Lonchura striata: one gene and its partners. The protein of the gene in region 1 interacts with the protein of each later gene in a pairwise test. Links are inferred from orthologs where the notes say so. Each region holds a gene or a part of one and is shown in the gene's direction. Other genes may lie near its edges.

Evidence for each region.
Region 2: the proteins of LNX1 (region 1) and CA8 interact in binary tests that used the Homo sapiens proteins (3 or more experiments, as listed by UniProt). The two-hybrid records come from large-scale screens. The link is inferred for Lonchura striata from reciprocal best matches to the Homo sapiens genes LNX1 and CA8.
Region 3: the proteins of LNX1 (region 1) and DDX17 interact in binary tests that used the Homo sapiens proteins (3 or more experiments, as listed by UniProt). The two-hybrid records come from large-scale screens. The link is inferred for Lonchura striata from reciprocal best matches to the Homo sapiens genes LNX1 and DDX17.
Region 4: the proteins of LNX1 (region 1) and FHL3 interact in a two-hybrid assay, tested with the Homo sapiens proteins (2 studies listed by BioGRID and IntAct). The link is inferred for Lonchura striata from reciprocal best matches to the Homo sapiens genes LNX1 and FHL3.

The regions. Positions count from the first base shown.
Region 1 is NC_134606.1:26,799,717-26,807,157, reverse strand, and holds the start of LNX1 (E3 ubiquitin-protein ligase LNX), read left to right. Parts: upstream 1-4,426; 5' UTR 4,427-4,523; intron 4,524-7,441.
Region 2 is NC_134603.1:37,466,751-37,474,344, forward strand, and holds the start of CA8 (carbonic anhydrase-related protein), read left to right. Parts: upstream 1-4,581; 5' UTR 4,582-4,628; coding exon 4,629-4,707; intron 4,708-4,980; coding exon 4,981-5,172; intron 5,173-7,594. UniProt on the Homo sapiens protein: Does not have a carbonic anhydrase catalytic activity.
Region 3 is NC_134607.1:23,793,622-23,801,049, reverse strand, and holds the start of DDX17 (putative ATP-dependent RNA helicase DDX17), read left to right. Parts: upstream 1-4,411; 5' UTR 4,412-4,697; coding exon 4,698-4,741; intron 4,742-7,428. Other genes in the region: DMC1 (meiotic recombination protein DMC1/LIM15 homolog), read left to right, coding at 400-460, 1,008-1,124, 1,571-1,640. UniProt on the Homo sapiens protein: As an RNA helicase, unwinds RNA and alters RNA structures through ATP binding and hydrolysis.
Region 4 is NC_134628.1:4,832,463-4,839,815, reverse strand, and holds the start of FHL3 (four and a half LIM domains protein 3), read left to right. Parts: upstream 1-4,341; 5' UTR 4,342-4,465; coding exon 4,466-4,472; intron 4,473-7,353. UniProt on the Homo sapiens protein: Recruited by SOX15 to FOXK1 promoters where it acts as a transcriptional coactivator of FOXK1.

The DNA.
Region 1 (7,441 bases):
TCTGTGAGTAGTAGCATTATTATTAATGCTGGCAAAAGTACTTAAAGGCAAAGTATGAATAAATGCAAGGTGTTCACATTAGCATTCTGTATGTTTGATAATGAACAGCCCCATGGACGTGCATTTGCTCTCACCATCTCCTCTGGAGCCTGCCACAGATGAAGAATGGGCAAAGTGTTGCACTGATCCTGAAGATGATTCTTGACTTTTAGGAAATGTCGTCCTACATCCTGTTGTAGCTTTGTTGTGGTTGTTGATATTGCTGGTTTCCTTTATTTCTGTAGTAGGAAGTCTGGGGGATTTGAAGCGTGTCTAAAATGCTTCTATTCATTTGTATCTTAGTGGACTTTGACTGTAATATGCAAAATAGCTTTATATAAAACAAATTACAAAAGTACATATAATTACAGAATATATATATATATGTATGTATATATAAATATATATATAATTACAAATAACCAAAAAGCTGTCACTCTACATTAAAAAAAACGAAAAGGAAGATGTTTAAAAAAAGGGGAAAATTAAATATTCCTGGCAGCTTCCCTGCAGCAGATCCACTATGCAGAAACCATGTAAAAATACTGACTTCCTCTCCCTCTATCATTATTCTCTTTCTCTACATTTATGATTTTTTTTAACTGTTTGATAATTTCTTTCTCATTCCTAACACAAGTTTCCTGAAAGTCTTGTTACTGGGTTGAGGGTAAAATCAGATTCAGAAGAAAGTTTCTATTTAGTGACTGGGCATGTGGAACTTCCCAGTAGCCTGTGAAACTTGGTGCTCCTGCTTCTTGGGCAGAGCTGTGCTTGGAGCAGCCACAGGAGGTGGTGCCCCACTCCTGAATCGCTAGATTTTTCCCCTGAAGGAAGAACCAGAAGCATCTCCTTGAAGCCTTACAGGTGGGGCAGCATCCTGCCAGTCAGCACCAGCTGTTAGCCAGTCACCCCTCCAGGCAGTGGCATCCTGAACACTTCAAGCTGCCTTGACTTGGTCACTTAATTGGATGGAGGGACAGGTTGAATTTTGCCCTCAGCTTCCTGAGCTTGTCTGCACAAGTCACTCCACTGTCCTTGTCCCTGCTGTGCATCCCCAAGTTCTATCTTTAAAGTGAGATAAAATGAGCTGCCAAGGTTTTGGGTGACTTGTCCAGGGTACCTTGATGGGTCATTTGGTCAAGCAAGGTGGGAGCAGATGTTGTTTTGTCAGCACAGATGCTGCCCTGGACAGAATGGTGTGTTCCTCAGCTCCTTGTCTCTTGGGAAAAGTCATCTGTGAATGTGCAAGAAACATGCTGGACCTTATGAACAACAACTGGAAAAGAGACAAGGGATACTGCTGTTTTATTTATTTACTCATGTGCTCCCAAAGTGGCAGTGTGGCCAGAAGCACTAATGGGGCTTTTTGAATATGGGTTCAGGAAATGCTCCTGGGGTTTCAGTCTAGGGCAAAGATGTCATTGGTGTGAGAGAAATTTTGGTCTGGGAATGAAGGTGTGTGTGTGTCCAGAAGGACTCTGACCAAGCTGTTCAGCATTTGAAGAGAGGGATGAAGGGAACCTGAAGATTATAAGCATTTCCCTGGAAAATAAAACCCTCAGGCCTTGACACACATCCTGTGGCATATAGCAGGCTGTTAACTAGGTGTTAAACTACTGAGTTTTATAGTGCATTCTTCATCACTGAGAGTTTTTGAAACCACAAGTTGATTTGTTAGTAAATGTAACTAAAATGGATGTGTTTAGTTCAAACTGGCATTCATTCAGGGAAGCCTTCTCACCTGTGTAGTAAGGCATATCAAATTGGATACTTGTGCTAGTCCTTTTGATTTATGAATTTATTAACATTTTTTTCAAATAGTGTGTTCACTGAATATATTTCACAGACTGGAAAAGATGTTCTGTGTGATTGTAAAACTTGTTGTGGTCAGCAGTTTGTAGTAATTTTTGAACAGGAATGCATTTTCCTGCAAAGTACAACTAACTTCCACCCCCTCCTCTTCGCCTCCACCCTGGCTTGTGAGTTGGTTCCAGTTTCAAATACTTAATCATGGGAATTTTTGGTGTTTTATATTCTGGATAGAATTCAGAGATTGCAAACTTTCTGTGATCCACTTTATTGCAGCAAGATTCTTTCCAGAAACATTATACTGTGTGTTGCTGTTTTGTGACTGGGGCATGTGGTAAATCTACTTCAAGAATGAGTCAGTGCCAGATTTCTATGTTGTCATGCATATAGACCAAAATAAGAAACATCTGTCCTTTTTTATTTAATTAATTGAAAAGAAATATATAAGTACAAACTATTATAGGTAATACAAGGTGATGCACAAGTGAAATAAAAAGAGCCACTTGGAAGCGTAGTCTGGAGTTTATTTTTAAAAAAGTAAATCACTAAATATTATTTACTAATAATTAATCTTGACATTTAATATTCTGCATCTCTCTAGGGGTCACCACTATTTGTCCTGTGATGATGACCTGTGTCTATGTGGAATGCTATTATCATCTTTCAGGGTCTGAAATCAATTGCAATTTTTCACCTCTGTTGAAGCTTGCTGTTGTGTTTTTACATATTGACTCCAATTCCATATTTTAGAAATTATTTTTTCTTTCAAAATGTTTTATTGCTGTGCTGTTCTTTGGGTCCTTCTTTAGAGGGACACATCCTTCCCTTCTGTTCACATTTTTCATGCAGAGCAGATTCAGCATAACTGTATGGAAACCTGTTCCTGGCCCTGAAAGCTAAAATTGGAAGTATACTTCTCGTAGGTTAGTGTAAATAAAACCCAATTAATTTTGCTTTAATAACTGCAGGCAGGATGAACCTTAGCTCAATACAAATTTTTCTATAAGCTCACAGGCAGTCCTCTCAATAAAGACAACAAAATTACTGTCATATTTATCATGCTGGGGTGTTTCAGCTCCATGGGATAAACTTGGCAGTGTTCTTCTGAGTTCTTGGAAAGCAGCCCTATACATCTCAGTTTGCAGCATTCCAGCAGATCAGGAAAAAACTATCTCTCTTTTTTCACCCTTCATATTTCATATAGTGATAGTGCTTTCCCTGAGTGCTTGTTACAGTTATTTTTTTGGAAAACAACATGCATTTTTCTGTACAATGTTGGCCGATAACACAACAAGACTATACCAGTGCTCTTCCCTTAGATTAAAAAATCTCAGTCTAAACAAGATTGAGAGAGTAAGGGTTGAGTGAAATGTTTTAGTTCAGAATTTCTTCATGAACCTAGGCAGAATTTTAATATGTTTTGGAAAAAAGCAAATTATTTATTTTGGGGGAAGGCAGGTTATAATTGTAGAAGCCTCTGTATCACCTTTAAAATATCATAAATATAACTAATATATAACTAATATAACTAAAATATAACTAAAGATTTACATAATTTTTATATTTGGTTCAAAATGCTTTGCAAATTTGATCATAAATATTTCATGTTCCTGAATGAAATAATTTCTTTTGGTTTACAGAAAACTTTGAAAAATAACTATAGTTTTTTTTAGCAGAATTGTAACCACTCAGATATTCAGTCACATGTGTCGCTCCTTGCCCTCATATTTAGAGCCTTCTCAAAATTACAGGAAGGTGTAAAATAGCAAATATTTTAAAATTTTTTTTTTCACTTTTGTTTCTAATTTTTCCTGAGCAGTGTTTGTCCTGTCTGGTACTTGCTGCCATGTGACTTCTTGTGACAATTCTGCCTTTGTGTGTGCATCAGTAACTTAAATGTTGGACACAGTGCTTTGGACTTTCGTTAAGACCAAAAAGTAATATTACTGAAAAAGTATTAGTCAGATACAATAGATAATTTTCTTCAAATTTCTACTTTATATTTGTCCTGCTGTTCTTCTAATACCTCATTAGGCACTTTTGCTTGCTCATGGAGACGTGCATTTCACAAGCATTCACTTCCTTTGCTCTTACGGTAGTTTTAGTTGTTGGTGATCATGACAAATTGAAATCGAGCAGTTGTAGCAGTTTAGTGAAGATTCAACAAGACAGGAATGTCAAGAGTGCACTAGCTTGTTTTTAGGAGCACTATCAATGCTCCCTTTATCCTGTGGGAACAGTTGTGCCTTTGTTTTGGTGGTGCTGTTTTTTGGAAGATGAGTGAATAAGAGACCATTGATACTTTTCCCCCCACAAAATCTCATGTGTGTTCTTTGCCTGGCATGCTGCTCTCTGAAGTGTAAAACTAGTGTGTCACTTGATTTTCACATATTTAAAGACCTAAAAATGGGGGAGGAGCAGTGAGTACCAACTCTGCAGGTACTACTGGATTATTTTATCCTGAGACTCATAAAATGAGGCTATTCCCTGGCAAAACCACGGAGCACCAGTGCCGGGTTCCCAGGCCTCTAACAACTAGACACGTGTTGATGAAGGATGAGGTAATTTCCAGATGAAGGGTGGACAGTGCTGCAGGAGTAACGGGGCAGGACAGCTGTGGTGGGGATGGTCTCCTCACAGGTGGCTCCCACCGTTGGGCTCCGTAGGCGTCTGAGGTAGGTCCCGCAGAGGGAAGGAGCAGGGAAGGTGGAGGAAAACAATGCGTCACTACCAGTTCGCTCTGTGCGTACCTATTTTTTTCATTCAGTTCTCCCTTTGGTTGTAACAGGACAGACTTTGCATGACAGATGGCTTATTGTTTCTCTCCTATAAGCTGCTAAAAGATTTCTGAGCAGGAACTCACAGTGTTCCTTTGGGAAAGGCACTTTGCAAGATCTGGGCACTGTCTTAAGGGACTCGAGATCCAAATCACGTAGACCATGGGCAGAAAAAAAGTGGGGGGGGCTTAATATGTAGCATTCAAAAATACATTTGCTGCTTGTACTAGACCCTCTTTAGTCTGGGATTCAGAAAACATAATGATTTCCAGATATAGCCAGTATTAAAAAATACAATGTTTTGGTGTTAAAATGTTAGTTGAAACTAATGGAAAAATACTGAAAATATAATCTTCCTGTAGAAAAAATCAATCTAAATTTACATATTGATAAGAAGCACAGGACCTTTAGAAACATCCATAATGAACCTTATGCTTTTGTAGATGGTAGAGAATGTAAGCAAATTTAATCAATTCTTTTCTAGTATTTTTTAGTTATTACAAAAATTGTGTCTAAATATAAGTATATAATAGTTGTGGAAATAAAATATACAGAATATTTCAGCTTAGATACTCAAGGTCTATCTGGTCTATACCCACAACAGCGAGTGGCTAGACCTCTGGCCCTGTATTTTAGTGCTAGAGGCCCTAAAATACAGGGCCAGAGAAGGCACACTACATAAGGAATGGTTACTCAAAATCAGGGAATATGTTCTGTGTAAATTTCTTTCAGAATTCTCTATACCATAAAGTAAGACAAGAGCCTGGCTCTGGCTGTTTCAGTTTCACAATAATATTTTTATGGATGTGGTATCAATTTAAAGCTCATCCTGTGGCTTTAATTCATCACATGAAAGCTGACTAATCTTTATGTATATTTGTGGATATTTTAGCAAGCACAAAATAACATTATGCTTAATAACAACTTATTCCTTTATTTGTTTTGTTTAAAGATATCATGAATATTGAAGAGCAAGTTTGATTAACATTAAATTTGTTTGTGGTTCTCAGGAATATCCAGTATCTTACAGAATCATGGTAGAAAGTAGTGGAAGAATAACCAGGTGTAGACTTGCAGAAGTAAACAAACCTAAATTTTTTTACCTTACGACTAAAAGAAAATGTGTTATACCTCTGGCCTGTCATTCAAAAGTTTTGGTGATATTCCTAAAAATACAGAAAAAAAACATTCAAACCTGGCCCTGTAAGAAGACAAAAGGTTACAATTTAAAAAACTCAAAAAGTGCCACCAGAAAAAGACAACTTTTGAGCAGGCTGGTGTGAGGTGCTGAACAAATGCAGAGCTGGACCCCTAAGTGTTTAGAGCTGGATCATGTAAAAGGCTACAGACAACAAGCTACTTGTTTCCTCTCAGGAATCATGTGAAAGCTTTCAAACCTTCCACAGTAGGTGAGATCTTACCTCCCTCTAAGTTAGTGGGGCTTTATACTGACTCACCTAGGAGCAGGCTTACATTCTCATGATCTGATAAAAGTAATGCTGAATGAATTAAAAATCATGTTCTCAGAGATGTTCTGGCTCGGTGTTAGACCTTTGAGTGATGCAATATCTTTTCTGTTTTCCTGTGAAGATCCATTACTTGATAAACCTCATTATTAGTTTTGGGGTATTTTTGTTATTGTTTCTTTTTCTTTAATGATTCCCATGTCAACTTCCCCAGATTTGAATGACATAAGGAGCTCCCTTGGTGACCAAATTCCTGTTAACAGTTTAAATGTGTTCGGGGAAGGGAGGAGGATTTGCACTCAGCAAAGGATCTCCAGCTCACAAGCTCTTATTTTATTCTTTTTACTTGAAGCTTCATAACAAGGATGATTTATTTGCAAATGAGTTACTTTAATAATAGGTTTAGAGTTACATAGAATATAGACAATCTTGACCCCCATCTCTGCAGCTGTAAAAGTAACAGCATGGGTGTGGTTGCCTGGTGGCTGGCCAGGATGATCCAGTTCAAGGGGGTGGATAAAATAACATTTACACTTACAGTAACTGTTTAAAAATGTAATTTGAGTTCTGCCAAATCCTTCCAGTTCATTTTGGGAATCCAGCTTATTAAGGCTGCCAACACTCAATTCTTCACACCTTAGTTTCTTCCAAGTTGTCTCCTTCTGCCAGATGCATTTTGCTGCAATACTGTCACTGCAGAGCATGAGGTTCCTCCACCAGCCTTGCTGTGTACATGGTTCTGGTGGGACTCTCCTTGCTGTGAGCCTGCCCAAGCAAGAAGTGACTGAGCCTGGCCCGTGAGACTCAGCATGGAGGGAGGACGCAATCCCAGAGGAAGTGTTCCACTTACAGACAGCTCTGTTTGTGTCTGCTGCAGTAAATGCTCCCAAGACAAGTAGGGTCAGGCATTTGTTGGATCTTGAGAAAGCATGTGGTGGAGAAGATGGAGGCTTGGAAGCTGGAACTTGTCGGTCTGAGTTGGAATTTCAGAAGTGTTCCCAGGCAGTGTGGGCAATGGGAATCAGGCACCATGTCTAAACAACAGAATGAGGTCTTGAACACTTTGCAGACCCACAGCTGCTTAAAAAGGGGCAAGTGTTGTCTGAAATAGCCAGTTCGCTCCAAATGGACTAAGTGCTCACTCTCTCAGTGTTCCTGCTAAGGCAGCACTTGTTTGAGGACACAGGGTGATCCTGCACTGTGGCTGGCAAGGCTGTCACACATAGCTTTGCTGTGTCTAGTCCTTGCAGCTCTAACCTGCCTCACCACAGTGCTGAGCAGTTGTGAAGTGCTGCAGCACTCTGGAACAAAAAGTGGAAGGCAGCAGTTATGGATAGGAATAGCAATCAC
Region 2 (7,594 bases), on another chromosome or scaffold:
AGGGTTTATTTTTGCTATAAATGGCCTCTTTATTGGAAATAGTCTCCTTTTACCTTTTCATCTTGGACTGTTTGAACTACCTAACCAAATTTTCCGTTCTGTAATGCATTACCACAGATGAGGAAAATAAAAATAGGCAAATATTATAATTCCAGAAATACTGGAATATTATTCCTTCTAATGAACTAGTTCCTTTTAATATGTGCAGAGAGATTTTTGGTATTGGTACATAAAAGCTTGTGCTTTAAAGTTTAAATGCAGAAACTCTGTGCTTACACTTCTAAACTTGGAAAAGAATTCATGTTCTTTGAGAGTGTAATCTGGCATGAAATAAAGATAGAAACAAGACCACGTGGTGGATATTTGCTGCTCAACCTCATAGTCAACACAGGAAGAAATATAGGAAGCCCTATTTACTGGAAAAACTAGATGCTTCAGGTCCCTTCAGCTGCCTTGCTGTATGGACAAGGCCTTTTCTTTCAGGACACCTTGGCAAGAACAGAGATCTGGCTTGCAGAAGCATAAATAGACTCTAAATTACCCCAAATGGAATGCTCTAATATGCCATAAAACAATTCCCTCCTTATCAAAATATTAAATCCTGCATGCTCTCACCTACTGTATGTTGGCAGCAACATAATAAAGAAAAAAGTGGATAATACAGGAAATATTATCATCCCAGAGTCTGAATTTCTCATCCCTTGCACCAAGGAAATAACTGTCAGTTCTGTGGTTGCAAAGAATCATGCAGGTAGGAATGCACAGTCTAAAATAACTTGTATATAATTCTGCTTTTCTTTTTTCCTATAGATTTCTCAGTAATCTGTACAGTTCTCTGCACTGGACTCCACCTTTTCAGAATGATGAAAGCAGTAAGTAAAGTTGTGGACATATAACTTTTAAAAAAAATGTTGCTAGTCATTAATGAGAATTGTCGCATACAAATTTTTCAGCATTCAGATGGTGAATATTGGTTCAGACCCACTTTTCCTAGTATATACCTTTAAAGGTGTTTGGGGAAGATGTGTTTTCTGAAAAAAGAAAAAAACAATGTAGAACAAAAAATAATATCTAGATATAGAAAACAGAAGAATAGTTGCTTGGTATCTCACCAGGATTACGTATTATTCTAACCATGTTTCAAAATGCCATTTCTTGTTTGACAAAAGGAATGTCAGAGACTACACTGCTTCTGAACTACTGTTGTGTGAGTTCAAAGAGGAACTATTAAGCCCTGGATCTGTGCCTGAGCTTTTTATTCCTGGTACTATCAAAGGCTGTGATCATTAATCCCAGTTAAACAAGAAGTCAGCATGTTCCACAGAATGAAAGGGTGAACCAGGATTCAGGAGAGAGATCTCTTGCTCCCGCTTCTGTTGATGAGGTGTTATGTCACTTATGAAGTTCATGTTGGCTGAGCTTCTTCTACTTTTTGCTCAACGATTTAATATTAGCTTGGGGGCCATAACTATATATGTCTAGATTTTTCAGTGTGTTGAGCCAATGTGGCAAACATCATGGGTAATGAACTTTTGCAGAATAAAGTGTGCATTTAGATGTATTATAGTTATATATTTAGTATATTTTCATTGTAAATTCAACTATTGGGAGCTTATACACAAATAATTTTACACTTGCATTATTAAAGGAGGTAAAATCCCACTGATTTTGAACAAATCTTAGCTCATGCCACTATCTCCATCTGATTGTTTCAGCCCTTTTATTTGAAGCTGGGTCCATAAATGAATGAGTTGGTTTGTGCAGAAGCCAATATCCACATTATTCTTTATCCATTTTTGTAAGGTCACTATTCACATTTATCACTGGAGTTTAATATGAGGGCTCAGTCCCGTGCTCCATTTCCTTATGGAGAAGCGACTTCTTTTGTTACTTACATACTTCACCATTAAAGAAATCCCAGGAATCTTCAGTGGAATTTAATCTTTTTATTCTCTAATCTATGCTTGACAGATACTAAGGAAGAAACAGAATATTTGCACAAAAACTACTCAGCAGACATATGGGAATAAAGATATGTCAACTATTCAGCAAGGATTTACCTGCTATGCCTAATTTTGCAGAGGAATATGGAAAGAATTGAAAGGTTAAAAGGAAGGGCAAGAAATATATGGCAAAGCCATGAAAAGTATTTATTGCAAGACAGGAACTCACAGGTATGATAGAGTTGCACCTCATAAGCATGTAATTCTAGAACAGACATCCCACAGGAAGGTTACTGCAGGAAAAGACTTAATAGAGAATATGAATGAATGAAATACTGTATTTCAAGGACTAAGGGAATGAACCCAGCCTCCTAGGACTATTTGGTTTGTTTCCAAAATATAAGACTCCCTTTTTAGAAGAAAATGAATTTCCAGTCAGATGGACCAGAGTTTTTGGTGATGTTTGTTTTTTCCCCATGTGGTTGAACAATGATTCAAAGGATTCTACATTAATAGAAGCAGCTGGTGTGTGTTTTAGAAGTGAGTAGATTATAAAACTTAACAACTTAATAAAGCCAGTTGGCTATGTGAGATGGGTATGCATATACAACATGATACCTTATGTGACTAAAATGCATGTTAAAAATATCTGAGTTTTCTCTTTGTACTGTTGTCAGGTGCTCAATATATGAAAAATGTCTGTTTGGGTTTTTTTCCTCAGTAAACTGCACCATCTTGTAATTTGGGTAGGATGATACTGCAGAAGGAAATCTGTGTTTCTTCTCTGCTCTTGAAAAATCCCAACCCAGTAAATTCCACTTCTTTTGCCCTATTTTCTTTTCACCTTGCATGCAGCTCATGAACCAGTACTCTCTTGCTTCATTAATGAAGTTTCATCTCAGTCCTTCTTTTTTCATCTCACACTTACACTGATGATCATTTCTGCTCCCCTGTCAGTGTTGCACAGGAATCACAGGTACTCTGCTGAGTTGAGGATCACTGAAGCACAACGAGCTTCACACTGAGATCAAACCTTGTGGATCAACAGCACAGGATCAAGATGTTATCATCTTGGGATACCAGAATTCAAGGAGGTCTGGTCACTGACTTTAAGTGACTAGGATGGTAAGCAAAGGGCACTTCTTACCATTATAGCAATGCTATTTGACTGCCTCTGTTACCTTTTCTGATTGCTGTCAGGGATTGCAGACTGCCAGTACTACATTCCCGTTTCCCTTCCTGTCACTGATGCAAGTTTTTGGGCCACTGCCTAGAAGAGATCTCTATAACAGAGGTCCCTTCTGTCCTTTTTTCCCCTGACAGAATGAATATTCTCTAGTTCCATACACGGCTGTTTTCAAAGGAGAATGTGGAGTCCTTTCATAACCTTGAACTGAGGCATCTTCATCTTGGGGAGAGAGTTTCCTCAAACCCTTCATTTTTGAATAATTTGCAGTAGAAATTGATGCCACACTTCTCCCTTTAGGACAGAAAGGGCAGAAGTGGGATCCCTTCCTTATTTGATAGCTTTCTTATCCTCACTGAGGGTTTCTGTTCCTCCACAGAAGGGACACAGTGCTCAGTAGTGAGGAGTAAACACAGATTCACAGAATGGCTGATGTTGGAAGGAACTTCTGGGCATCATCTTGTTCAAATCCCCTGCTCAAGCAGGGCTGCCCACAACAAGGACTGTGTTCACATTAATACCTTCATGGATGGAGACTCCCCAACCTCCTGGGGCAGCCTGTGCCAGGGCTTAGTCATTCTCACAGTAAAAATTGTTTCCTGATGTTCAAAAAAATCTGTGTTTCAATTTGTGCCCATAACCACTGGTCATGTTACTGGGCCCCACGGAGAGGAGCCTGGCTTTACCCTCTTTGCATTTTCCCTTCAGCTATTTGTGAGATCCCCAAGCCTGCCTGTTTCTCAGCTGAACAGTCCCAGATCTTTCAGCCTTTCCTCATGGAAGGGATGGTCCAGCACCTAAACCATGGTCATGACCATTTGTTGGACTCTCTCCAGTATGTTCACGTCTCTGTACTGGAGCAGCCCAGATCTGAACCGAGCACCCCAGGTGTGTCCTCACCCGTGCTGAGCAGAGGAGCAGGATCACCTCCCTCGACTTGTTGGAATCGCTTTGCCTAATGCAGCCCAAGGTATCATTCTTCTTTGTGGCAAGGGCACACTGCTAGCTCATGTCTAACTTGATGCTCACCAGGACCCAGAGTGGGTGGGACTCACTCACCCAATGCCAAACTGCATTCCAGTCAGGTAGTTCCCCACCTGTCCCGGCGTCTGGATTGTTCCTCCCCAGTGGCCGGGCTTTGCCCTTCGCCTTGTTGAAGTTGCTCTCCCGGGGTGCCGCTGGGTGCACAGCGCTCCTGTGCCCAGCTAGAGGGGCAGCGGGAGCTGCGGAGACACCCAACCCCCCGGGCTAGGGAGGGCTGCGGAGGACGGCGAGGAGGACGCAGGGAGGCTCAGGAGCAGCGTCCCGCCGGGGACGCCCGCTGCCGCCTCACCTCCCTGTCGCCGCGCCGCCGGGACAGCGCCCGGCTCCCGGGGCTCCCGGTGGCCGCCCCCGGCCCTGCCCCTGCCCCGGGGGCGGAGTGCGGGAGCTCCAGGCGCGCAGCGAGCGCCGCCAGCCCGGCTCGCCCCGCACACGCTCGCACTCGGCGCAGCCCGCCCATGGCTGACAGGAGCCTGATCGAGGGCGCCGAGCCCCGGCCGCGCCGCGAGGAGGCTCCGGAGTGGGGCTACGAGGAAGGTGAGGAGCGGGCGGCGACTCCGCCGGGGAGAAACTTTGTCCGCTGCCGGGGGAGGAGGAGGCGGTGTGGGGATTTCAGCGGCGGAGCACGGAGCGCAGCGGGGCTCGCTCCCAGGCCGTCCCGCAGCAGGTCCATCCCCGCGGGCGGAGGCAGCGCGGGGCGGCGGCCGCGGAGCCGCCGGTCCGGCCGAGCAGCCCCGGGGGCAGGCGGGGTCTGTCTGACCGCAGCCGGGGCGCCGGCTGCCCCGTGACCGCTTTTCTCTTGTGCCTCAGGAGTGGAGTGGGGGCTGATTTTCCCCGATGCTAACGGCGAGTACCAGTCGCCCATTAACTTGAACTCGAGAGAAGCCAAATATGACCCCTCGCTCCTGGAAGTGCGTTTGTCACCGAACTACGTGGTGTGTCGTGACTGCGAAGTGATCAACGACGGGCATTCGATTCAAATTGCCCTGAAGTCAAAATCAGGTATGCTGAAACATGGCCTTAATTTTCCCGGCTAAAACTTGTGTTGCCCGAAGACTCACTGTACTCATGTCCTGGAGTTTAGGAAAAGCAGCCTTTTCCAACTGAGAGCAGTTGTGCCCATTCAGCATGGACTATGCTCAGTGAGAGTGTTGCTGTTGACTTTGGTAGGAAGGGGAGCAAGTGTTGCAGATTTCGATGCCAGACTGGATGGTCAGTGAGATTGCTTCAAAGCACGTCCAGAATTTCTTCCTGGAGTGGTGGTATCCAATTCACTGGCATTAACATCTGTCTGCACTCAGAAGCAGTACAGACTACCGCTACAGTGTAGTGCCAAACTGTTCCATACAGCTGGCAAGATTTGTTCATGGTTCAAAGACCATGTAAGTTAAAAGTGCTTTTTCTCATTAACTTGAGTGGGTTCTGAATACTACCTCCAGAACTGGACAGCTTAAGATAGATACACCAGTTATACATGCTCACAATATTGATGAGGACCAAGTAGAATGCAGTCCTCATTTCTTAAAGGATGACATTTTTGGTGTCACTCATCAAATATGATTTAAAATAAAATAATAAAAGAAACAATTCCAACATGAATGAAATTGCTATATCTTATCCAGACTTTTCATCTGGGTAAATTATTCTCTATGAAGGAGACAAGAAAGTAGGGAGGAAAAAGTCAATTTTTCTTTCCAGCACTGCAGCAGTTCTTACCATGTGTTTGGAAGAGCCTCTATGTTATTCTAACCAGTCTTAGCTAGTAACAGCCCTTTGGGGGCATTTAAACAGCTGAACATTGTCAAACCATGAGACATTCCAACTTCTTGTTTCCTTCTGAGAAGTCGGTAGTACTGGGAACTACAGCTGTGCTAAGTGAGGGAGCCAGTTCAGTTTCACACAGTTTTTTAAAAAGGAGAGGTCTGTTATCTCAGAAATAATTATTTCCTTTATAATTTCCTTTCTATGATAATTTCCATGCATTTTTGCAACACAGAAAGTTTCTTTACATGGAATTTTGCAGATTTGCAATAAAAGAAATGTTGCACTTCCCATCAGTTTTACTGCCTTCATCAGAAGCGGAGCTCTTTTCCCAAGGGATAAGGTTCTCCTTGCAGGATCAGGAGTTCTTGAATTCTTCTGTGGAGGAAGTGAGAGTGACCACAAGTACCTCATCATTCACATCCCAAAATGCAACTCAGTCCATCCTACCTTTCCCAAGGGCAGTTTCTAGCTTAGTAGTGATAATTAATAAGATGGGATCAACACACCTTTGCAAAACCATTAAGAAAATTAGAAAAAAGGAAAGACTTCTTTTACACTTTAATGCAATGTGATGCCAGACAGATGTCTCTTGAATTATAAGAAAATGTGAAATAGAGAAAAAGTTTATGACAGACGTATGGAATTATGATTTAGGAACTCTTGGTTTAGTTTCAGCTTTTCCTTAAATATAATGTTACGTAGTTTCCCTTTTTTCCTTTGTAAACTGGGAATAATTTGGGAGGGAGAAGATGGCATTTATTAAACCTACCAAGAGGAGAAAAGAGTTAATAAGCTCTGATTGAACCTGGCCTAGTATTCTGGCCATTTTTCAGGGACTGCAGAAACTCCTACAGTTTCTTTTCCTCGCAGGAGATCTCTGATGACATATCCATTTAGTCAGATTATTTTGTTGGGAACTATTGAGCACTGGATGCTTTTGAAACTCTGTCCAATTAATGTGCAAGAGATCCTCATCTACTGTAATGCTAGCAGTCAAAGAAAAAGTTCTTTATGGAAAAACATAAACTGATTAAGATACATATTAAAAATAAATTTGTCATTACTGGTGAATGTTTTTATCCTTTAATTCAAGACATGCAGTCCATATAGAATTCCCAAATCCTGCTCATTATTTAATTGCAGACATTTTCACAGCTGCTTTCATTTTGATAGTGGAATACGTGTGGTGCATTAGGTGGATGAATCATGACCAACTATGAAATAGTTCTATAATGGGATCAGTGTCCTAACTGAAGCCTTGGAAATAAACTCTTTGAAGCTCCTGGAGATCCAGAAATACATCTTATAAAAAACATTTCTTCTTCTAGTTACAGTTTTTCTCGGAGAAATGTTTTAAAACAGAAAAGGCTCAATTTTCCTGATTGAGATTATTATTTTTATTCTTCTAATTATTATTGTCTTAATTAAGAACTAATTGAGTATCATGATTCTTTTTGTTTGTCCAGATTTCTTAAATACTTCAATTGGTTTATTTCTCAAGTGTTCACTGGCTTTGTAGATTTTCCCTTTAGGGGATATAGGTATAGATGGAATATAGATAAAGCAAGGTTAAGAAGCAAATCTGGATCTATAATTATATTTAGGATATTTCATTTTGGAAACTCTAAAGACTGTTAGATTAGTTGTGAAGAATTATTAA
Region 3 (7,428 bases), on another chromosome or scaffold:
CTAGAGTTCCTTCTCTTTGGAATGTCTCAGAAATGTTGATGAGGAATTAATAAATGTTTTTTTCCTGATGTAAAAAAAAAAAAAAATTCAAACAGAGAAAGGGAAGAAGAGAGAGCTGAGGGCAGGGAGCCAGCAGAGAATAGATGGAAACTGAGAAAGACTTGTTCAGTGGAATTGTAAAAAGTGCTCAATTTTGGTGTATTACAGTTGAAGCCATGCAAGAGCAAATTAGGCTGTGTCGTGATTAACTGCAGCCATCAGTCATAAAGAATATTTTCTTCTCGTTCACTTAAAATTTGGAGTGCTTCAGCAGAAACCTTGCTTTTACCATGGATGAGAGAATATTTTGGAATTCTAATTGGATGAAGTCTACTTTCTTTGAAATGTCTTCTCTTGCAGAATATAATGTGGCTGTGTTTGTGACCAACCAGATGACTGCTGACCCAGGAGCAACTATGACGTAAAATACTTTTTCTCTCTCTTAAAAAAAAAATCCTGTACTTTGTATTATGTATTTAACAGAAATGAGAACTGAGATTGTAAGGAGCAAGAGACACTGAAATGAAACATCAGTTTGGTCATTGTTTCCTCTGATATTAGGAATTAATACATAAATGACCTTTGGAAGTTTCTCTCAGTTTTTGGAATGAGCTTTTTTGTGTTTATCTGCTGCCTGGTATGGTGGTGTGATTTCACTGTGACTTAAACAAAGAAAATGAGCTATAAAAAATATTGAAAAAGCACCACATTTTCCTTTGGAGCAGCTCATATGTGATATTTAAGGTGTGTATTTCTGGAGCCTCTTATATGTAATGACAGGAAAATTATGCCAGCATTGAACATATGAACATATTATCTTGAGACAAGTATGCAAAAGTCAAGTTTCTAAAGTATTTCCCTATTGATTATTTGTTACTGGGTTGAATAGGGCTCAGTCTGACAGTTAAGCACAGTTTTAACCTCTGGAATTTGCACAGTGAATCACCACAATTTTCTTGCTAATTCAGCTTTCAGGCAGACCCAAAAAAGCCCATCGGGGGCCACATCCTTGCTCATGCTTCGACTACCAGGATCAGTTTGAGGAAAGGGAGAGGGGAGCTGCGGATTGCAAAGATCTATGACAGGTAAACCACCTTTCCCTCACGGGAGAGAAGGTGACAAAGTTCAAGGTATTGAAACTGTCTGGATGGTACATTGGGAGAAAATCTGAAAGGACAAACTAATTAACAGATTAAACAACTGATTAAAGTTGTCTTGCACCTTGCATACGTTAAATAACATAATCTTTCATCATAAATCCTACTAGATGCTTAGCTCTTAATGAAGCTTTGGTAGGACTGGTAGTCCCTTGGCAGGAAGATTCTGGACATTTTAAATTCCTAAGTTTTCCTGACACAATAATTTCGCATTTTCTGATCCTGATGATATCGATCAGATTCTACAGTTTGCACATAGGTATAAAGGCACTGAGGTATTCCAGGTCGCTCACACCCACAGCATTTTGGAGACTGTTTCACAACTGCATTTTATATGGAGAAACCCACAAGTTTCTTGTATCTTTTTCGCCCAGCCCTGAGATGCCTGAAAATGAAGCCACATTTGCAATAACTGCTGGAGGGATTGGGGATGCCAAAGAATAGGTAAAAAAATGTAATGTAAATGTACTAAAAAACCAGCAGGGAAGCTGTGATGAAGATTTGTGAAAGCTTGACAACTACCTATGGCTGCATTTGTAGCTTTTGGGAGATATTTAAGATATTTTGGGAGAACACTGGGATAGATTTTGTACAGTTCAGTTTTACTGAACTAAAATTTTGGTCATGTAGGATTTTTGTTTTTCAATTGAACTTTTGGCATGCAAATATTTAAGCCATTAGATTGTGAATTGTTCTTAGAATCCTTTTCCTATCTTTTGTGAAAATCAAACCTGTCCTTTCACATGGGAGTGAATATACTCTTTCTTAATTTATTTCAAAGAGAGTGTCTAAGTGGTAGAATTTATAGTGTGAAATGCAACAGAACTAGAATAATCTCAGTTATAAAATTCACATATATAGATGGAAAAGGCAGTGGGAGGAACAACAGCTCAATAACTTGACAGATTTTCACGTACTGTAGAGGAACAAGTAGTTTTGAGAATATGTTTTTAAACATTTTTATCTTGACTAAATAATGTTCATGTTTTTATTTAGCATTTTCTACTTTTTGGACAGAATGTTTTAAACCTGTTCTTATTAAAGTTAAAAATAAAGACTATGAAGTAGAACAGAAGTCTGACTATGTTTGGGTGCTTCGCATTAAACTCCACTCTCAAAAATCTCATTGATCTTTCATGAGAAAAATATATTATAAAAAAAAACCCAATACATTAAAACCTTTTTCTAGTTCTCTAAAGAAATAAACTTGATATAATTGACTTGTCATTCTTCTAGGATAAGTAAGACTATTAAAGATTAGTATTAAGTAATAGTAAATATTGTTACTATTAAAAAGAATAAAACAAATGCAGTGGCTAAATAGGAGAGGCTGGCACCAGCACTTTTACCAAGGAAAAGGCACTTAAGATTCAGCTTGCTGAGGGAGCCAGCAGCACAGGCACAGCTCTGAAGTAGCCAGAGATGTAGGTCACAGGGGGCAAAAGAAGAAACTGGGAATAAAGATGCAAACAGGGCATTGGGGGCCAAAATAACAATTCCTTTTGCAATATCACCAATGCTCATGGAATCCCTTGCTTTTCTATAAATTAAACAATAATAATAATAATTATAATTAAACATACATACACACACATGGATATAATGGAGAAGTCTTGCTTTGTCCTCTGGTAATTACAGTGATTCTAATTTTGGTATCTGGTCAAAGAAATTGTCCTCACTGGCAAAATAATGTTTTTGTTTAGGTTACCAAATGCAAGTTAAGATAACATCAAGTAAAAAGGTAGCAATGACCAGAAATTAATGGAAAAGAAGCCTGACATTTTAACCAGGCTTTTCCTTGTGACAGACCTAGAGGGCTTGCCTTCCTTAAGTGGTTTCTTAACAGATAGTTGATATTTTTCCTGAGGTAGAGCACTGTTTTTCACAGTGGAGAAAAGTCTAGAGAGCTGTAGGCTGGGAAGCTGCTTCATCTGATAGCGCCAGGAATGGATCAGTCATTGCCATTTAATGCAATGTCCAGTCCATTGCATGTGCCAGGCTTTCCCACACTAGGCATTTTTATCCAGCGGCCAAGTACCCAGTGTCAGTGAGAGCATGCAGTGTCACTTGACTCTGTGCCACCCACTTAAAAGACCCAGGTTTCTCTTGCATTTTATTTTAAGCACTCAGATTGCTTTTTGCTTTCTCAAACATGTGATACATACATACATATGTATATACGATGTGAAACTAAAATGGTAATTTCTGTGTCGTTCTAGGCTGTTATTTTTATCCATGGGTCTGAAAGTAAAGGGGACTGTTTTTCCCTTCTGCCAGTATAAGCAGCTTTCGATAACCTGTCAGCCCAGAAATTACTGCTGATAGTGAAACACGGTGTGGGCCAGGGCTGGGTTTGGCTGGGCTAACCCCACCATCTCCTTGTGCCAGGACACACTGACTTGGCAATACCGCATACACAACACAAAAGGATTTATGGTCTGTGCCACGTAATCGCCTCGTGGATGATTCTGCCTTTCAGCGAGGAGTCTCTGGCTCATGTGGGGAATTCTGCCGCGGCCTGCCGGCGCTCAGGCGACAGCAAACATCATGGCTGCTGTCACTCTGCTCCTGCCCCCGCGCCGCGCCGAGATCCCCCTGCTAATCTTACAGGGAATAACCTCGGCCGCCGGAGCCGCCACAGAGGTCCAAAGGGCCGCTCCCGCCCCGTCGCCCAGCGTCCCATTATTGTTCCGCCATTGTCCCATCATCGTGTCCTCAACCCCGCCGCCACCTCGGCGGAGCCCGTGGGCGAGAAGGCGACGGGCCGTATTCTTCAAACCGTCTGCGAATCCAGCGTAACCCTCCGGCCCAGCCTGCACGGTCCGCGTAAGAATCCTACGCCAAGCGCACCGGGCTCTTCCCGCCCTACGCTACCCTCAGTTACGCACCTTACGTACGCCGTGCACTTACGTAACGTGCGCCTCGGCCCAGGTATTCTCTGCCCTGCAGAAGGGGTTACGGAGAGCTCCTTACGCAGCTGACTTTGGGGAATAGCGTTACTCCTCCCCTCCGCCTTCCTCACGCGGGGCCCCGGCTCTAAGTAAAGAACGTTACGCACCTTTCGTAGCCCGCCTGCTACTGCACGGGGCGGTGTTTCGCCGAGCGCGCTTAGTGCGTAGTTGAGTTCCGAGAATAGGCGTAGGTGTTTCGGAGGGCCGGAGTTTGCGCAGCGCCAGGCTGCCCGTAACGTAAGCGGAGCGGGCCGGGGCGGCGGCGGCCATTTTGTGCCGGGAGCGCGGAGCAAGAAGACGCTGGTGTCGCCACACTACCCGGGCCCTGGAGCCGACCGAGAGCCCCGCCGTTCCGGCCGCTGACGCCCAGCGGGTCTCGGACCCTCTGACCACCTCTTCTCCTTTTGTGTCCCACCAAAGAGGCGAGGTGGCGCAAAGCGAGGCCTCCGAGGCGCAGCCGCCCCTGGCTGGACCCTCGCCCCGTACCCCCAGTCCCTCGCCGTCCCCACGGCCGGCGTTCCGCTGCCTCTCACCCACCCCTCCGGGGGCGATGAGAGGCTTCGGGGACCGGGGCCGCGACCGAGACCGCGGCGGGTAAGGGGGAGGGGGGGTCGGCACGGCGGGGGGCGGTGGGGGAAGCCGAAGGCCTGCGTTGGGGGCGGGGTAGGCCGAGGGGTTCGGGGGGTGTGTTGGAGTGGCGGTTTTGGGGGAGCTAAAATTCCATCTGTGGAGATTTGCCCCCCTGGATTCTCGTGTGGGGGCGGGGGTAGTTGGAGGCTTATCTGTCCCCAAGGCGAGGTGGTGGGTTTTGAGCGTTTTACGGGTTTTTAAATTATTTGTTTTATTTAGCTTTTCCACCGTCCATGTGTAACTAGTTCTGAGCCTTGCTTGCAATTTTAAGGCCTGCATCCACCCTGCCCCCTTAATTATTTTCTGCCAGCCGCCTTATTTACCCGGCGGGACCCGTGGCACCCTCCCCGCTGCGAGCCACGAAGGTCTCGGTGGCCCTGGCAGGGCTGGTTGTCCTTCTGTCTGCCCTTCTGGTTGTCATTGCTCCTTCTGGACTTACTGGAAAGATGGCAGAGGGGGGAAGATCTGTCTCAGCTGCGCTCCTGGGTTTACCGTGATAGGAAATGGGATTGGAAACGCTGCCCTTTGGGGGACTTGGGCACTCGAGCGGGTGATCTCGGTGAGCCATGGTGCTGGACCACACTCGCCAAGTTTACGTAGTGCTACAGCAATTGTTTGTGTGGTTCTGTAAAGGCCTAGTGCTTGATACTCTTGAATCTGTTATTTAAAGAAGGTTTGGCTTGCAAAAGGCTTTTGCAGGTTTGATTTGATGTGATTTTTTTTCTTTTGACAATGACAGCAGTAAACACAATGGTGTTATACTGCGTAACTAGAGTGAGTTTCGAGCTTTTTAAGCGTTGACAGTAATAAGGCATTCGTGCCAGGCCTTTTTAAAGAGAAAGTTAGAACTAATTTCTGAGAGTGGCATTTTCAGATCATGAGTAGTTCTCAAGGTTTAGCAAAAAAATATAATGTGGGTTCTGCTATATAGTAAGCTAGATCTCAATTAATGAGTCTTCTCTCCATTTTTTTCCTTTTTTTTTCTCTCCCACTTCCTTTTCCTCGTGTTTTCCCTTGCCACTGGCAGATTAAAGAATATTTTGCTATACATTGCAATGCACTTTGACATTCGGTTTCTTGTCAGCTGTGGAGGGAGATAGTTGGATCATTGCTTTATCTTACACCGACATTTAACATCCTGAAATTAAAAGATACTTTCGGTCTTTTTTTTTTTCACAGAGAGGAGGGTTCTGGTGTTTTTCTGCTAAGAGATTTCCAGCTCAGTTTAACACAAGGACATTGGAGTAAGCGCTTTGGCAAGTCTGAGATAGATCAGACCACAGCTGTTTTTGGAGTTTAGTGAGTGAGTTTGAGTATGCAGATTTATATACAGTTACTTATAGAACACTGGCCAAAGCATTGCCACAACACTTGATGTGCCTTAAAATTAGTGTTATTTCATTTTCTGTAAAGTCTTTAATTATAGTGGCTGCTTCTCTTTTAGGTCAGGGGTTTTGCATGAGTAAAAGAAGTGCTTCCATGATTCTTTGTGAAGTCTGTGGATATTTGCATGAAAAATTTTTTTTTTCTTTTTTTTTTTTTTTTTTTTTTTTTTTTTTTTTTTTTTTTTTTTTTTTTTGCATATTATCCTGGAACCTTTAATACATTAGGATTCAATTTGTTACATACATCCCTTTAAGTTGTGAAAATATTTGTAACCACTAACAACTATCTTACTTCATAAATAACCTGTATAAAATATTGGGCCTCCCAGTGTGCTGGTTCAGTACCTTATGAAAGTTTACCACCACTTCTTTTGTAGTCTAATCACATAAAAGGGTTCTAGTTTTCTCTTGTCAGGAATGAGCTGTACGTGACTTCTTAGGAAAATTATGTTTTCCTCTGGAATGTGTCAGATTTACTCAGTTCTGTCCCAGAAGTGATGGCAGTAGTAATATTAGGGAAGAAAGTTTTGAGCCACCCTGAATTTACCTTTGAAAAGAGGGCTGTTGGCAAACCAGGGAAATACTAGATTTAAGTCAGTTTAATTTGAGTTGGAATCTCTTTTTACTTGGAGTCAGAATGTGAAGTGTCAGTTACTGCCAGTTTAGCAACTGAACCCCCACAGAGTCAGGGTTCAAGGGCTGCTGTAGGGTTCCTTCCTTTTCCTTTCAGGTCAGGATTCAGGCATATTGTGTGTTAGAGTGGAGAACTGAAACTATGTGACTTCTGTGTAGAATATGTAGTTTTTTTTTCCCTCTGGATAGCTTTAGAGCATGTGTTCATAGTACCCAGCTTTTAGCTTTTGCAGTGTCCAGTCTTGCTGGCAGCCCAGTCGTATGTTTCCTTTTCTAAGGAAACTCATCAACCCTTTGACCCTCTAGTGGACTTGAGTGAGTTTGGGGTTTATGGGTTTTGTAGGAACTGCTTGGGTACTGACATTTTTGACATTTTGACCTCAGTTTAGCATGATTGGTAACAAACATCATCACTAAAGGTGGATGTCCCTGTAAATGAAAGTCTGCGCCTTTTTTTTTTTTTTTTTTCTTTGTCCTGAAAGGAAACACAATACTTAAATGCATTTTTGAAGTTGTGTTTCACAGTCATTTTCATAAGAGAAAACTTGATGACTTTACAGGTTGTCTTGGGGATCTGATACACACACAGGTGAAAAGACAGGAGCAATTTATAGGAAAGGGAAGAAGCCTAAT
Region 4 (7,353 bases), on another chromosome or scaffold:
GGGAGAACCAGATGGGGGGAATTGAACCTGGAGCTGAGAGTCTCAAAATTGCAAGGGAGCTTAGTGACTGGCCATCCACAGGGAGACAAGAGTCAGATGAGGGGGTCCTGACAGGAGCTGGAATCTTCATCTGGAGCTAAATGAAGGACTGCTTTTCAGAAGAACTGAGCTGGCTTTGCCAGAAATCAAAAGAATGATTGAGTGCTCAGCATCCCTGGAACTGAGAGGGCAAGACATAAGCTGCTAAATTCAAGAAATAAGGAAAGAACAAACCCAGACCCTCTCCCAGGCTGTGTTCAGAGGCTGTAAATGCTCTGCCTCAGATATTTTGTATTTCAGGTGGGGGGTGTATGGCAGCTTGAGTGGCCAGTCCCACAGGCAGTGCTGTCCTCAGGGAGCAGGATGTCTGCCCTGCCCTTTGCACTGTGCATCTGGCAGTGTGTGCCTGATTTTGCTTTAAATCACACACTCTCTGCTCATGAGCCACCCACGATGGGCTGTTGGACTTATGGCACCCATTCTGCTCCCTCCTGCCTGTCCCTGGCCATTCATAATGACAAATCTCAACCCTTTTCCTGACCTTTTGACTCTTCAGCTGGGCAGTGTGTGGAGCTTGCTCCAGGCTGCTTGTGAATCAAACTCCCAGGAGAGTTTGTGAGATGGTGCCACAGAGGCTCCTCTCCACGTCTGTCCCATGGCAGTTTTGCCCTGTGTTGCCCAGGCTGAAGGGACTCTCCTGCCTCTGGCTCTGCTGGCCAGCCCTGGTCAGCCACACTCTTGAGAAATCTTAGTGGAGATGTCGACCTGGCAGATGGAGGCCATTACCTCATTCCACAAAAATGCTTTGTTATTGAGAAAATGGAAACTGTCTGAGGTTTGGGAGCTGAATAGAGTCATTGGTGTCTGTTTTAACCGCAGTTTAGTGGTGACTGCTCAAAAGTTCCCCTTTCTGAGCATTCCCTTTTCCTACACCCATAATCTTCAAGCCATTGGAGAGCTGTGATGACTTAACTCATTAGCTGAGCAAAAAATGTTGAATGCTGCTGCACGCTCTGCAGAAACTTCACTAAAACCTCAACATCTTCCAGCAAAACAAAAATGATGAGCCAAGAAATAACCCTTTGCAAGCTGTTGGCCAGATAAGTGATCCCTATGGATACTAAGCCAAATTCAACCCTTTTTACAGTTTCAGCTGTGTGTCTTGTTTACTTGACTTTGAAAAGCTCTATGGAGATTATGCAGGAACTTCTTCAAGAAAAAAGACATACTTGGGCACTTAGGTTTGTAATTCTTAAACACGGGTATCTGAACCCCAGTCCTGAAGAGAAATTTCTTTTCATCAATTTTTAAAAGCACATTTTAGCATTGTGGATTTGAGAGCATAGGGGAAAGAATAAAAATAGGGATTGAAGTGTTTGCAAGCTAGTTTTTGTATTGCTGTGAATAATGACTGGGCTTAGTCCAGAAGAGCATTAACCTAAACACAGGCCTTGTTTTACTTAACAGATATTTGTGAAACTGGCATCTGATACCTCTTTTTGAGAACCTTCCATAAGCATTAATCACCAACACCCTAAGAGAACCAAGAACAACAGCTTTTTGGAAATAAAATGAATGCTTTATTTATGTATTTTTAAACTAATTAATCTTGGCATGCCAAATGAATGTCTTCCAGCTGCTACAGATGGTTTTCACATGACTAAATATTTTGGTGTGTAGAAAAACCTAAAATAGTGGAACCACAAGATATTAAGTATTTAATTATTACCCTGGAATGTAAATATGACCTTGATATTTTAAATTTGTTTGCCCAAATTTCAAGTGTTCTCTTAGAAATCCATCAAACAATGCAGTTCTGATTTGTTATCTGTGAAGCAGAGTGACTACTCAGCATCTTCTCCAAATTTATTTAAATATCAGAGTGGGTTTTAGAAGCAGGAATTTGCTTAACTGGAAAAATAATCCCAGCTGCTTGAGGCAGAACCCAGGCTCAAAGTTTGAAATGTAGTGGACTAGTTCTGTCCTAGATCCCTGCTTTCAGGTTTAACCATAAAAATCCTTTCTAGGCTCAGCTCTGCCTCTTAAGGTCTTGAGGGGGTTTTTTAATATAAAATACAAATTGTAAAAACAATTAGCAGTTGATTTTTTGGCCTGTATCTTACCGATTTAGAACACATTCTGGCCATGTGTTGTTCCTGTATCTGTAAAGCAGCCTTATTTCTTGAATGATCCAAGCACACAAGATTTCCTCCATGTGAGTGTATCACAGGTAATTTCTGTCATGGTTCAGGACTGTGTGGTTGCAGATCACACACAACCTGCATGTACACTCAGGCTTCTTGTGAAAAATGTCTTTTTGTAGTTCTTCTAATGAAACAAAATAAAGGGAATAATATAAAATATGTATCTGAAAGGCCTAACCTTCAGCACAGTTGAAGACAGAAATTCCTCTCTGAGGTCCACACCTGATGGCACTGTTCCTGGATATTGCTCAGGATGGGAAGACAACAAAAAATCAATGGGTCCTAAGCTGCCCCTGAGTGCAAGGACTGCATTTGTCACCATCATGAGCCCCAGTACCAGCCTAAACTCCTGATTTCTGCCAGGCTTTTGACCTCACCTTGGAATTCCAGCACCCTCATTTAAGGAAAACTGGCTTTTTCCTTTCTTAAAAACGAACCCATTTGGAACTGGTGCATAACTTCCTGCTGCTGCCCTATCCCAGTTCTGCCTGCCAGCTCAGCTGCTCCCTGCTGAACCCCAAGTTTGAATAGCAAGGGCAACTAGCAGAGGCATGGTGTTGGTTGGGAGATCTGGACTCTGGAACAGCACAGCACTTTGTCTGTCTGCTACAGGGTTGGAAGGCACCTTAAAGACCATGTCCCTCTCTTCCTTCTCCTCCTCCCTTTTCTCTTGCTTCTCCCAGGGTCAGGGTTGTGCAATCTGTAGATGCAGGTCTGTACCCCACGTTGGTGGGTGTCACAGTTTCCACTGACAGGGATATGTGCTGCATCTCAGGAGGAGAAGAAAGATGGGACTTGGGTCTTGGTTCCATTTTTAGTTCTACAGGCCATGCCTAGTGCCAGAACTCTCTGAGGTGCAAATCCCAGGAGGGAGATAGCATTACTCCCTGACCTGTGGGTAATACAAGGGTAAATAATGTTTTTGCTGCTGACAGCTGTTAGGGAATTGAGGAAGCCACAATCCAGTGAGAGGTGTGGGGTGTCAGCTCTGGAAACTGAGGACTTTTTTGCATTAATGATCTTGCACTGGATCATCACATTTGTGTTACTGGCAGTAGAGAATCGGGGAGCTAAACTGCTTCACAGGTAAATCTTTAGTTTGTTTCCTTAAATTTGGATTATTTATGCTCATCTGCCTCTTGGCACATGGACATTTTCAAAAAGAAAGGGCATCATCTAAATCTAAAGGCATTTCAGTGGCTCCCTTTAACTCAGTGAACAGTTGACATTAAGAAAACTGCTGAGTGCCTAACTCAGAACATTCTGGAATACATAGACTGGTAGTGGTACTCACCAAGAGTCATTAAAAGCAAAAAGTGCACAGCGTGTTTTGCATCTATCTCAGCCAAGAAAAGTTTTATTTCTGCTATTTCTCAACCCTAAGCAAACACCATATAACTCACAGAAAGATTAAATCTGGCCCGGTGTGCATGTGTAGAAGTGTTGGATGTGTTGCTTTTGGAGAGCCCAGAGCTGAGTGTGGGAAATCATAACTGCACGTCAGGTTGGTGAAGGTGCACGGACTGTGTTGTGCTTCCTGCTGTGTGAAACAGTAATAACTACAGCATGATTAAATAATGCTTTCAGGTCCTTGATAGCTTTGAGTTTTAATTTTGGAATATGTAGAGCAGAACTTTGAATAAGAATGGAAGAGGGCAATGTAGAAACCTTGAATAATTATTAGATCAGGCTGTGTGAGCCACACTGACCCTTTCAAGTGACAATCCAGGTTCTGCTGCTCTCTGCTGCTCACCTTGTTAGCACCTGACTTGGTAAGTCAGGCTGATAATGATGATGAGTTTTTCACTTTATGTTAGGAGTTTTGCTTCTTCTCTTCTCTTCTCTTTTGTTTTTGTTTTTTTTTTTCCTGTCATCATGATGTTCAGCAATATAAAGGCATTAGAAGTAAAATATGTCTACACAAAACTGGAATCACGTCTCTTGTGAAAATTTAGAGTAACTTTTAATGCAAGTGTCCAATTTCTAGTCACAAGTAATGACATTTAAACCCCTGTAGGAAACACAATCCCTGTGCTGATGTCACCCTTGGTTTATGATGTGAGTGCTTTTGTTGCTGGACAAGCACTTGAGTGTTTGCTGGTGAAGTGATGATTTACTGGTGAGAGTGTCTGGCTGGTGGCACCTGCTGTAGCTGACTGAGGTGAGGGGCTGGAGGAGCACCTTGGCACAGCTGGGTCCCTGCTGCTCCACTGCTTCCAGCAATGCAAGGTAAGCGAATTGGGCTGAGCTTTTATTTCCAGGGTTTGCCAGTTTGGGACAAATGGCTTGTAAATGGAGCACTCTTGTTCTGATCAGCTCCAGAACAGAGGGAAGGGTTGTTGGCATTGCAGTGAAGCCCTTGATCCTTGGGTTGCTTGGGCATGTGAACAGCTTTGGGAACTTTTTCCCAATAGTCAGAGTGCACGTTGCTTCTGCTTCCATCATCATCAGTGAGTGTGGAGCACCTTCCCTGCAGCAAAGAAACAGGCATTGCTTCACATCTGCTGCTTCTAGGGCTGAGACAGCAGCTCTTCTTGTTCTTCAGCTGAAAGTTGCCAAGAGAGGAGCCTGTTAGTGAAAATTCTGTTCTTTCTGATCCTTTTTAACTTCTGAGAGACGTGCTTCATGTAGGTGCCCTTGTAAATCTCAGATGGGAATCAAAGAATGATGTTCTGTAAAGGAGCCACGGACCTGGATCAAGGACTCTTGATATTGTTACTTCTTATCTGTTCATGTTGGATTTTTTTTCTGTAAATAAACAGCTTTTCCTCTCTTTCTGAGATTTTAGGCAGTCCACATTTTTACTGAGCTGCGTGCCAGCAGCAGCTCCAATTCTGAGATTGACATGTCCAGTGGAAACTCCATGTGTAGCTGCATGATATAAAGGCATTCATACACTTTGTGGGCACTTGTGTTCCTTACAATACCTGTTTCCATATAATCTTTTGGACGTGGCACAGTTTTCCCTTTTATGGGTGCCACCAAAGATTATCTCTGCACAGCAGAAACAGGAGCGCATGTTGCATCTTGCAAATTTCCTTTTAGCGCTTGCAAGGAGTTATTTTGTAGAGATGTTATGCAAAATACGTAACAATTGCAACTGATGGCTTCTATTATTTAAATTTTGCAGTACTGAAGAATAATTTTAAAGGTGTCAGTGAGAATGGTTTGAAGAGAACCAGCTCGTGAAAGTAAATGACACGTTCTGGCCAGATTACCTGGCAGAGAAGCCTTCAGTCACAGAAGGGAGCTGAAGGAGCTAAAACTAGTTAGGCCTTATTGAACTGGCCCATGTTATATTCATTTCACTTCTACACTGCCTAGGAGGTGTTCTCTTCCCCTCTCAGCCATCCCATGTGTCCCCTTTGCTCGGCTGTGCTGCCCTTGAGAGCGCTGCCCTGTTTGGGGAGGGCTGCAGCTGGCACACACAGCATCTCCCGGGCAACAAATGATCCCAGTTTTTGTTTGGGAGAACCATCAAGCTGTTCCCAGGGTGGTAACATGAGACAATTTGTCTTTTGCCAGGACTCAGTCCTCCCCCAGATTTAGAAGCTGCTTGCATGCTTCGTGCTGCAGGCCTGGCATTGCCTTTGCTTGCAAGGGACACCAGCAGCTGTAAAAAGCACTTTACAGGGAGTCTGTCCGTGTTCTTGGGCTAAGAGCCAGCACAGGTGGGGAGGCCTCGGGGATCTGTGGCAGAGAGGGAGTGCAAAAGTGTCTCCTGTCACCTTCCTGGCTTTCTCTTCCCTCTGCGGATTTTGGAGAGCCCCAAAAGGCACAAAACTCAGATGCACGTTACCTCTCTCCATCAATAGATCTGTTTATATGCAAGAAACCAACTGCAAATACTTGTGTTTGAGAGGCAAAGAATCAAATCGGAAGAGGGAGTATTTTGACCAAATTTGGTGAAAAAATTCACTTTGCCCTTTAAGTAATAGGCGTGCATTAAATAAAACATGTCTGGGATATGTGCCTTTTTCTGCTACTGGAAGTCAAAGTTGTTTTGTTTATTGAAAAGAAACATGAAGCTGAGCAGAGCCTTAATCAGCAAAAGAGCTTTCAGGCTTGTTGGGGAAACAGAGAATAGGGGACTGGGCTCAAATTGTACAGGTTGGTTTTCAGCACGTGAGCAAAACACACAATCACTAGGGCTGTGTCCAGTGCTTGAGGCAGTCCCTTGATTGCCTTTTTGGGCAAAACAGAGACATGATCTCGTAAGGATCTTTTATTATGGACTGCAAAAAGCTTTGTAAATACTAACTTAAATTATGTATCAACTCAGAAATAATAATGGCTTCATCCTCAATTTAAAAGGAGCTGTCTCTAAGGGAATGAAAAGTGCAAACTACAGTGTAAGGATTCAGTTGTGAGAACTTCAGGGAAATAGAGCGGAATTACATTATATACATGTAATATCTACATTGAGATGCACAGGCCCCAAGAAGTAGCAACTAGAGCAGTCAGATTATTTTTTCTGCATATAGGCTGTGATGTCTGTTTGAGTTGCAAGATTCTTGTGTGCTGAGCTGATCCAAGATGAAGGTACATTGGCCTCAGTGTGCAGTTAGTCATTTCCTGTCACGCTTTCACGTTTGAATTCTGTTGTACTGCATATGACCTTTATTATGTGGGGCAAAGAGATCTTGAAAGCACGATTGCCAGGAATCCTTGGATTGTTAAGTTGGATAAGCAGTGAGGCATTGATATGGCTGTGGGTTACACGGGCATAAACCAATTCAGTCCAAAATTAAACTTTCAATGCTAGATTGAATGCTCACAACATGCTTATTGAGAGTAATTGCACACCTGTCCCTTGCTCCTTTTTAAGAGCTGACAGGAGCAGCCCTTTCCCTGGGCTCCTCCGATCACACCAAAGCTCCTGTGATCAGTCACATTCCCTGAAACTTGGCTTCAGCATCTTTCTTCCTCTTATGGCCACTGTGACCATGTGTGCAGCTGCTGCCCTCAGCCAACCCCTGCCCAGTGGCAGCTGTGCCCGGCTGCAGTGTCCCCTGCTTGTCACTGCACGTGGCAGGAAAGGTACCTGTCACGAGGAGCCTCTCTTTTCTCTGCAGCCTCCTCAGAGACAAGCCACAATCTCTCCTGGCAT